Schizosaccharomyces pombe: one gene and its partner. The gene in region 2 interacts genetically with the main gene of each other region. Each region holds a gene or a part of one and is shown on either strand. Other genes may lie near its edges.

Region 1 (3,513 bases), on a different chromosome or scaffold from region 2:
ATCATCTGTTAAGCTTGACAACGGCCAAAAAGAGTTGTATCTACGAATGCATACTTTTGCCCATAAAAAAATAAACATTTACGTATTGGAATGAAAAAAATCATTGCAGGTCTCAGTAAACATCTCATGAATGTGTTTTCTTCGTGGGAAGGTACATCCTTAATATATCCCAATGATTCTAAATTTCCAGCAATCGTTATCAATTTTATTTTTTACAGACAAACGAATAATTTATTTAGCTGTTGACGGATGCTATAATTCTATGTCGTTAAAGACTGTATACACTTTACAGTTTGAAAAGTTTGCTTGACATTTACCGGTGCTTCTACAAGGTCTAAAGTAAGAAAGATAAACCAAAACTATTGTCATTACAACAGTTAACAGTAGCCAAAGACAGCTATAATCCCAACAAACATATAAAAATTCCTTAAATTAGGGGATTTTCTCAAGTAACGATTTTAAAAACCAGATAACAATCCTACTGAGTCAAAGAAGCAACCATATCCTTATAACGAAAACATCAGAAATTACTCAAATGATTAACAATATCAATAAACTAATCTATCAATTATTTTCGATGAACATTACTTCTTCTTATCCTTGATTAACAGCTATGTATGCTATTTTATGATATCTTCTCTTGAAAACCCCAAAAAAACAGTCACATTAAGAAGAATATAAAGGGCACTGTGCTTTCTGCTTTTGCATAGTTCTTTCACCTGGAGTGTGCTCATCTAAATAGTAAATAGGTAAGTTTCATCATTTCACAAATGGAGATTTCAGAGGATGCGAAATATATACCCAAATTGTATAGCAAGGATAACGGGGTAATCGTTTTGGTTGCCTTCTTGCAGTGATAAAGCATTTTGTCATAGTTACACTGATGAAATTCTTCATTTGCTTAAAACTTTTTGGTCTTAAGTTTGAAAATTCTTTACTAATTTTGAAATAGATAAAAGAAGCCGTTTTTAACAGTTAGACACCATCCTATTCTTGAGATGGTTTTTTTATTCGATCCACGAGTTTTTGATAATTACCGATACTATAAATTTAATAAGAAATTAAAAATTTACTTTATTAAGTCAAAACTTGTTTACATTTAGTAGTAATTTAATTACAATTGAAAGAGTAATGTTGGTAGTGATATATATCTATGCAGACTTGTATGTAATGTAGACATTCTTTAAATCAGAGAACCGTAAAGTTCGGTTGTCCTCCTTAACTTTAGATAATGCAACCGTACATATTTTGCAGGGCTTGACTTTAGCGAACTGCATAGTCCAGTTGTTCATGGTTTGGTTAAAACAATACAACGTAGCATACTGTGGAAGTAAATCGCTCATTTTTGCTATGGTTTTTTTACTGTTAAATGCTTTGGTAATGAAGTAAATAAACTTAGACAGAAACACAAGATGACTGTTTGATCGGCTGAAAATACATACGGCAATTCTTTTGAAAATCGGATTGTATTTGTACTATACAGTATCGTATTTACTGCGACTTTCCTATGCACTAATTAATATACCACACTGACGGTACGAAGCGAATGCCTGTAATCGTGACGTTGTTCACTACCACCGATAGAATAAATGCAAACTTATCTTTAGCAAACAACTCCCATATTCTAAGACAAATAGTTCGTTCAAAAGAAAAATTATTGAACACTCAGATAATTTAATTAAGCAGTACCAAAATGTCTTTTCAAGTTCGTGTTAAGCAGAATATGCAAGATTTGGATAACAGGGTATGTTAGCAATAAGGCAGGATATCCGATGGAAGCCGCTTTACGCACTCGGCAATATAGGCTATTATTAGTATCTTGTGATTTTAGAAATTATTCTTTCTATTCAAATTTGTTTACTAACTTTTTTTTCCAGTTGGCAGCCTTTCCTCAACTCAACAGTTTGGAAAAAAATTTTGGTGTTAGCAAGCTTTATGTTTTTCTTACTGCAGCTGGTATATATGCCTTGTTCCTTTTCTTGAACTGGGGTGGATTTTTACTGACCAACCTTCTGGCATTCGCGATGCCTGCCTTCTTTAGTATCAATGCTATTGAAACTACTAACAAGGCCGATGACACTCAATGGTTGACCTATTATTTGGTAACTTCATTCCTCAACGTTATTGAGTACTGGTCTCAGCTAATCCTTTACTATGTCCGTAAGTGTTTAAATTTTTTGTATTTAGAGGCGTGATTATAAGATCATTAAGGATCTAATAAATTTTGCTCTCTGCTTTTAAATTTATTTTTTTTATTTACTAACTGGGGATTTTCCTTTTTAGCTGTGTATTGGTTACTCAAGGCTATTTTCTTGATTTGGCTTGCTTTGCCTAAATTCAACGGTGCTACCATTATCTACAGACACTTGATCCGTCCCTATATCACTCCTCATGTGATCCGTATTTGCAAAAGCGTTTCTCGTCAAAATGCCGCTCCTGCGCCCACAGCCTCTTCTTTTGCACATACTACCGCTACTGACATTCCACCCTCTATCTAGAGATTTCTGAACAAAATGTTTGGAATGGACTTGTATTCCATAGAATAGTTATGCTATACTACTCGATGAATGATTGAAAATCATACAACGGTAACGTTGTTTTCTTGTTTTTTCCCATCACAATTGACTATATTTTGGACAATTGCAAATAATTCAGTGTTTCAGAAGCTTTGCCTTTCTGAATCTCTTTCCTCTAGTTCTGATTATTTTTATTGACTGTCAAAAATTTAAAAAAATTTGGCCTTTTATATGCCGCTTTCGGCATGGACCTCGGCAATGTTGAAGGGTTTATACTATATGTATATCGCGTAGTCTTTTTGAGCAGTACAAAATTATAAGGCTGCATGCTTTACCACAGTACCGAAATTGCAATAGACATTTATTTTATGGCAACTATAGTAACTTACACACACATCCCAAAAGCAATAACCAGACTACAGTATACTTACAATGATATACCCATATTCGAAATTGCTGAAAAAAATTCTGAAGATTAATAACAAAGTACTATCTCAAAGTAACTGCCGCTTTGTAGAATTGTAATATAAAAATATCGCAATCAATTTATATTTTGTACAAATACATACAATACGTCTTTCAATAAACAGTTAACCCATTATAGCGTCGTTAAACACAATAATGAACTCTACCACTTTACATTGTGCATTTAAGAAACTTCGTTAAACCACATCAGTTTCTCGCTTATACTCGAAGTTTCTAGCATTACATCATGCCATGGTATATGGTCCGTCCCAGCGGGTACAAAAACATCTACTGTCTTCACACATTTTGTTTCGTTTCCAAACGATATTTAGAGTGTATTGCAACGTTTACATTCCATTAATATTTGGTCGAAAGAATAGTATTTCTTATTGACTTTACATACACTACTTTGGTACTATTTTTCTTGAAAATTCAGGAACATTGTACAATTTGAATTGTAAGGTTTTCTTACGAAATATATATAAAGGAGTTATAACACAAGAAAAGTGGAAAAATAAAACTTTCATTTCGT
Region 2 (5,991 bases):
GTGCACCAGCGCCTAAAGGGAGTCGGTTGACTCTAGAATAAATTTGTTTCAAGCGATCCAAGTCATTTAATATAGAAAAGGCATGAGACAATAAGAAATGGGACCAGCGAATAGGCTGGGCTCTTTGCAAATGAGTGTAACCGGGCATAATGATATCAAGGTCAGACTCTGCACGAGCAACAAAAACTTGGAGTAACCCAACTAAAGATTTTTGGATGATGTCCAACTCATCACGTAGCCAAAGGCGCATATCGGTCGTAACTTGATCGTTGCGACTTCTTCCTGTATGAAGCTTACCAGCAATGCCTGTACCAATTATTTCTCCCAATCTGCGCTCGTTAGCAGTATGGATATCTTCGTCAGAAGGTTGAAGAGTGAATTTATTTGTCTTCCATTCATCTCGGACAGCCTCTAAACCATCTAACATTTTATCCAATTCATCAGCACTAATGATTCCGCGTTGTTCTAATGCCTTAGCATAAGCTTTCGAGCCATCAATGTCGGCATTGAACATGCGCTTGTCATAATGAATAGACTCATTATAAGCTGTCATCAAGGGATCAGTGGCGCCAGTAAATCTACCGCCCCAAAGTTTTTGTGAAGAAGCCATTCAGAATTGTTAAAACAGAGTCAGTTTTTCAAGTTTTCAACCAACGCAAAAAGGAGGTAGTACTACTTAAAATTTAATTTATCTAATCTTTTGAGAGTATGGCTATATGACCGTGTAACCTCTTCCTTATCGCAACCTATTGTTATATCACATTAACGATACGGCGATAGATATGAAATTGATATTATAATCGCTATAATAAGATCTAACGTATTGGAACGTATAAACACTTAATAAATGTTTACATTCCGCTTCGTTATTTCTTTCCTTAAGTTTACAAAAGATATCATATATGGAAGCTTTGGTTGGAATCTTACTGTATAAATGTACTCAACCTGAATGATTTGTTTTGTCTTTCTGATTTATTAACTCAGAGCTACCAAAGAATTTCGCGAGCATTAGCTTAGATTTAAGAAAATTGACTGTTATAAAGATTGAGAATTCTTAAAAGATTTTCTTGTTAGTTGTGATTGTTTTTTCGATTTTTATTAGAACGATATTTATAGATGCCTGAAAACTCATTGGTAGATAAGTATTGTTTTCTCGTTTTTACTAGTGTCTGATCAGACTAAACTGGTTTAAACATTATGATGCATCTTCCGCCCAATTTCTTTTAAGATAGCTAACGAAAATCAATTAAAATAAACATGGACCAACCGAGTTTATGAATCCACCAAATATAGTGGGATTATAAAGAAGAAGAAAATCAACGAAGAATAAAGTGATAACAGTACATGATTTTCCTTTTCCCTCTTTACTTTCGTCTCTTACTGCCTTAAATTATACACTGCATTTCAAATTGTCAACTATATTATTGATTTCTTTTGGCATGAACACATATAGGGCGTATTACTTCGACAGTCTAACATTTACTTATACCAAGCTTCTCAAAATTCGTTTATAGTACTCGTCTTCGCCAACAAATAACTTAACAATTTACGTATGGATATGTTGTTAACAGAACGTCTGGACTCAAAACGGAATCCACAAAGTGTTATCTTCGAGAATACTCTAGAGCCAGTTTAGATCTTGCTAGTTATTTTTAAATAGAAGTTATTGAAGGTTGCCGAGCAATACAAGTGTGATATAGTAATGTTGAATCTGAACCATTTATTGTCCACTAGTAAATGTGCAAGAATTAATCCATTTATTGTTTCCATGTAAAACATAGAACAGATAGCGTAACAAACAACATCGTACTTTAGCATTTCACTTTGAAAAATTTTAGTCAGAGCTTCTTGTACATTGTTATCAAGGGTCGTAAATGAATTATGTTAGCTTTCTGGAGTGTCTGCTAGACTTAAACAATTGGATTTTAGAAAACTAAAGAGTGTAGCCCCTATTTAAATCTATTTAATTGTAATAGCTTGAATGCTACTCAAAGGCGTAAATCCTTTTTTAAGCGCTTATATTCCTGCTAAAAGAATTCTAGTCAAAACGTGTACTAGCGTATTTCACAGAAGTTCCATAGGTTTTCTTTTTCTGATGTAGGAAAATTTAGGATCTTCCATTGGTAAGCGTACATTGTACTCTATCACAACTATTACAACATACTTTTTGCTGGATATTAACTTAACAAAAGCCACATCTTTAAAACTTTGAAAATAACAACTTTGCTATAATGGAGCCAAAACAACGAGTTGTCAAGCCTTTAAAAGAAAGGGTTTTACCTGTTGTCAAGGTAAATATATCTATCATGTGTAAATCAGATAATAAATGTTGATTATAAGAAAAGTTTCTTATTTAGTTCCATAACGTAACTGTAATCTATTACTAAAACATAGACTAATTTGTCAGCATTATTTTATTTTGATTCAGTGTCATATTGTCTTCACTCTTTTAATACATTACTAACCGTTTATTATAGAACACCCAGTTTGTTTGGTTTTCGGGGCAAGTAATAGTGCTAATCTCTTCCGTCTTGTATGCTCTTCAAGCAATCCCTTTTCGTTCCGCTCCTCCATTTTTGTTTAAAAGCGCTGCCTTTGGTGCCATCGTTGCATATGCAATTGTCCTTTACAAAACTTATAGTCCAAACTTGACTTCCCGTGCTTCTTGGAATAAGCATTTCTTTGCCCGTCTTATGCTCGATGACAATGTTCAGTATTTTATTTTAGCTCTTTCAATGTTGATTGATCGTCCCATCCTATTTTCTCTCGCTCCATATGCCATTTACGCCACTTTCCACATCTCCACTTACTTGCGTAGTGTGCTTTTGCCTGCCATTTACCCTAATATTTCTGACGCGAAAACTGCGTCTTATGCTTCTCGTGTTTCTAATTTGCTAAATCAGTACACTCGAAGCCAATTTCAACCTGCTATGCAACTTGTTGCTTCTCTCGAAACATTTTTATTGTTCCGTTTGTTCTTTGGGGTTTTCTTACGTAAAAACTCAATTTCCAGGTTGGTGGGCTATATTTTCTTTCTTCGCATGAGATACACTAATAGTCACTTTACTCGTGCATCCATTAAAGCCGTTAGCCTTCGAATGGATCGTTTGGTTGCAGATAACAGAGTTCCTCCTGTTATCAAAAATGCTTGGCATACATTCAAAACTTATGTGTCCAAGTTCGGTGCTTCACCTGTAGGTACTGCTCAAAGCCGTCCCACTGCATCAAGCTCTACCACTGCTCCCTCATCTACTTAAAGTGATGCCTTATTCCTTTTGATTGCTAGAGATTTATATAAATTTCACCAATCAGTGTGATTTTAATATGTCTAAGTGCTCCTGGTTTTTGAGTTCTTTACTATTAACGAGTAGTTTCTATTTCACCCAAGTAAATTTTGAATGTTCATACCGTTTACCTCTTTCTCTAAAAACTTGTTTGAGATAATTCCGTTTATTTATTTTTGCTCACTACTCCTCTATTTCAGTTATCTTTGTTTGGGGGGTCTCCTCAGACTTTAGTTTAGCTTTTTTCAAGGAAATTGAAATATGGATATATGTTGTTTATCCAAAAACTCTTTGAGTATTAAAAGATTAAGAGGTAAAAATAATACGTTTTATTGAATTTTGTAGCACAATAAACACATGTATAGCAGCGCACTCTTGAAATCTAGCAAGTTATTAGTTTACATTGGATAAAATACCAGTTTCAATTGAATTTATGTGATGTTAATGCGTTTTGTTTCTTAGCATCTGCGCAAAGTAACGTAGCGCTGTGTTATGGTTCACTGGGAAACACCAACAAAGTGCTCGATGTTTTTCTGATTATCGTAATTATTTTGAACGATGTTTGATCAGTTGGAGTTTTATCCTGCTGTCAACTATGAGGATAATGAAACTCAAAATGATATAAAAGTAAGCTTAGATAAATGTTTTTACAAGGGCTTACCCAATTAGCTACCCGAAGTCGCCAAACTTGAAAATATCGAAACAGTGCATTCCATTTCTAAGGAAAGACGCGACTCTTTAACGGAAATTTTAAATGATTCTTCAAGCTTACCGGCACGTCCGTTTTCTCTGCCTAATCCCAATAATTCAACCGTAGAAAAGCAGTCGTTATTTCCATTTGAAGAAAAGATGAACCCCATATGGATAATTTCTAGACCTACTTTCTCTATTGAGCAAGACGCGGAAAAAAAAATTAATGAACTTCAAACGTTTACAAACATTATTGATCAGATATTGGGTCAGACTAATAACATTGAGTCAACATTGTTATCAATGAAAGAAAAGTTTGAAAGTTCTGAAAAAAAGCTGAGTGAATTCTCTGAAATGTGTGAGAACCTTAGTACAGATGAGGTATTAGGAGCGTGCTGCATACCACTTATCATTACTAACACCTTGAACAGATGCGGTTTTCCGAAATAGCCGATGGCATAAGAAAAGGATTAACAATTTTTGCTCCTTTGAAAGAGCTTACTCGAGTTTTTCGGCATCCACCTCCTGACTTTGCTGGCAAAGTTTCCTTTAAAGAGCACATTACTCAATTAAATACTTGCATCATGTTCCTTGAAGAAAATGTACGAAATTCCATGTTTTTTATTTTAGCTGACTTTTTAGTTGGATTTTCAAGAAAGTCCGCATTACCTTGGTCAATACAAGAAACTGCTATCTCAAGCGATGGATATATTTAAACCGTATTTTATACGGATAATTAAACAAACTACTGATCAAGTGCTAAAGGATTCCAAAAAAATGGTAGGCATATACTTTTGGGCGTTTTTGTTTTCCCCAATCATTAACAACTATTTAGGATGTTCACAAACAGCTTCATAGTTCACTCTTCTACGCCCGATTTAGTGCTGTAGGTCATAACCTTTGCCCCACTATCACTGAATTATGTAAATTATGCTCTAAAGAAAGTTTAGATGCTTTTCTTCCTGCTTTTTATGATGTCTATTTTCAATGCCGCACGCGGCTTCTGAAACCTGTACTGGATTATCATTTGAAAAGTTTTTTTATGGAGAAATCCATTTCAAGCTATGTATGTTTAACGAAACATATATAATTAACTAATGATACCGTAGATCCAAAAATCACTTGCTCTTTTACAACTTACTTTTTTTGATGAAAATAAGTTATTCCGTGAAATTCTTATCATGGATGATTTTCGATTTATGCATTATTGGAATAATCTTTGTCAAAGCTTTTTTGAAAATAGTCGTTCATTAATTTTGCATGAAAAAAACCTTACCGAACTTTGCGAGGTGTGTTCTTATATCCAATCATTTCAAAACGCCATTTTAGAAGGGGAAAGGGAGGACGTTGATAAAAAGGTCGTTGAATTTCTTAATCCTCTTGTACTTGAGTTGCAAGAGCGTCTTTTATTTGTGGTACAAACTGCCATTGAAACCGATATTCAACGATATTCCCCTACGGAAGAAGATTTAAATCCTATTGCAGATGACAAAAGTTTGCTCTTCGACTTAGAAAAGTTACGCTTGAATAATGATGAAGAAAAGCTAGACCCCGATGTTCCACAAAAACTTGCTATGGCTCAAGGCTGGTATCCGGTAGTACAAAAATCTTTAATTATTTTGTCGAAAATCTATCGATTGGTGAATGTACGTGTTTCATTTAGACTTTATCCATTAACAGTTTTTAGTCTCAAGTATTTGACGAGATAGCCCTTGAACTCGTGCACTCCTGCATTCGTTCCTTGGTAGATGCGTACCGCTATTTTAGCCGGAACAATGATAAGCAGTTAGCAAGGCTTTTTCTAATCAAAAATTTTTTGGTTTTAAAAGACCAGTTGAACTCATTCGATATACATTATGCTTGTATTGAAGCTGGCGTTGATCTGCGAAAAGTATGGGATAGTGTTCGTGAATGGCGTTCTAACTTGAGAGGCGTCTTACAACTTGTTTACGAAACGTTTCCTAAATTTATTACAAATGCCGTAGATACCAGGCAGGAACTTAACCAGCAGTTACGT

What was found. A genetic interaction does not mean that the proteins touch.
Region 1: of tts1 (region 2) and yop1, changing one enhances a phenotype caused by changing the other (phenotypic enhancement), as found in Schizosaccharomyces pombe (one study listed by BioGRID).

What each region holds. Positions count from the first base shown.
Region 1 is NC_003421.2:2,195,293-2,198,805, reverse strand, and holds yop1 (ER membrane protein DP1/Yop1), read left to right. Parts: upstream 1-1,605; 5' UTR 1,606-1,693; coding exon 1,694-1,744; intron 1,745-1,877; coding exon 1,878-2,160; intron 2,161-2,283; coding exon 2,284-2,498; 3' UTR 2,499-3,013; downstream 3,014-3,513. UniProt on the Schizosaccharomyces pombe protein: Required to generate and maintain the structure of the tubular endoplasmic reticulum network and the vacuole. Induces high curvature in membranes and causes membrane tubule formation. Involved in membrane/vesicle trafficking.
Region 2 is NC_003423.3:4,366,158-4,372,148, forward strand, and holds tts1 (tetra-spanning protein 1), read left to right. Parts: upstream 1-2,184; 5' UTR 2,185-2,231; coding exon 2,232-2,291; intron 2,292-2,390; exon of another isoform or gene 2,391-2,477; coding exon 2,478-3,257; 3' UTR 3,258-3,659; downstream 3,660-5,991. Other genes in the region: arg41 (argininosuccinate lyase), read right to left, coding at 1-610; COG complex subunit Cog3, read left to right, coding at 3,843-3,911, 3,954-4,355, 4,406-4,576, 4,617-4,754, 4,810-5,040, 5,084-5,620, 5,662-5,991. UniProt on the Schizosaccharomyces pombe protein: Required for the correct positioning of the cellular division plane by delimiting the actomyosin ring assembly at the cell equator.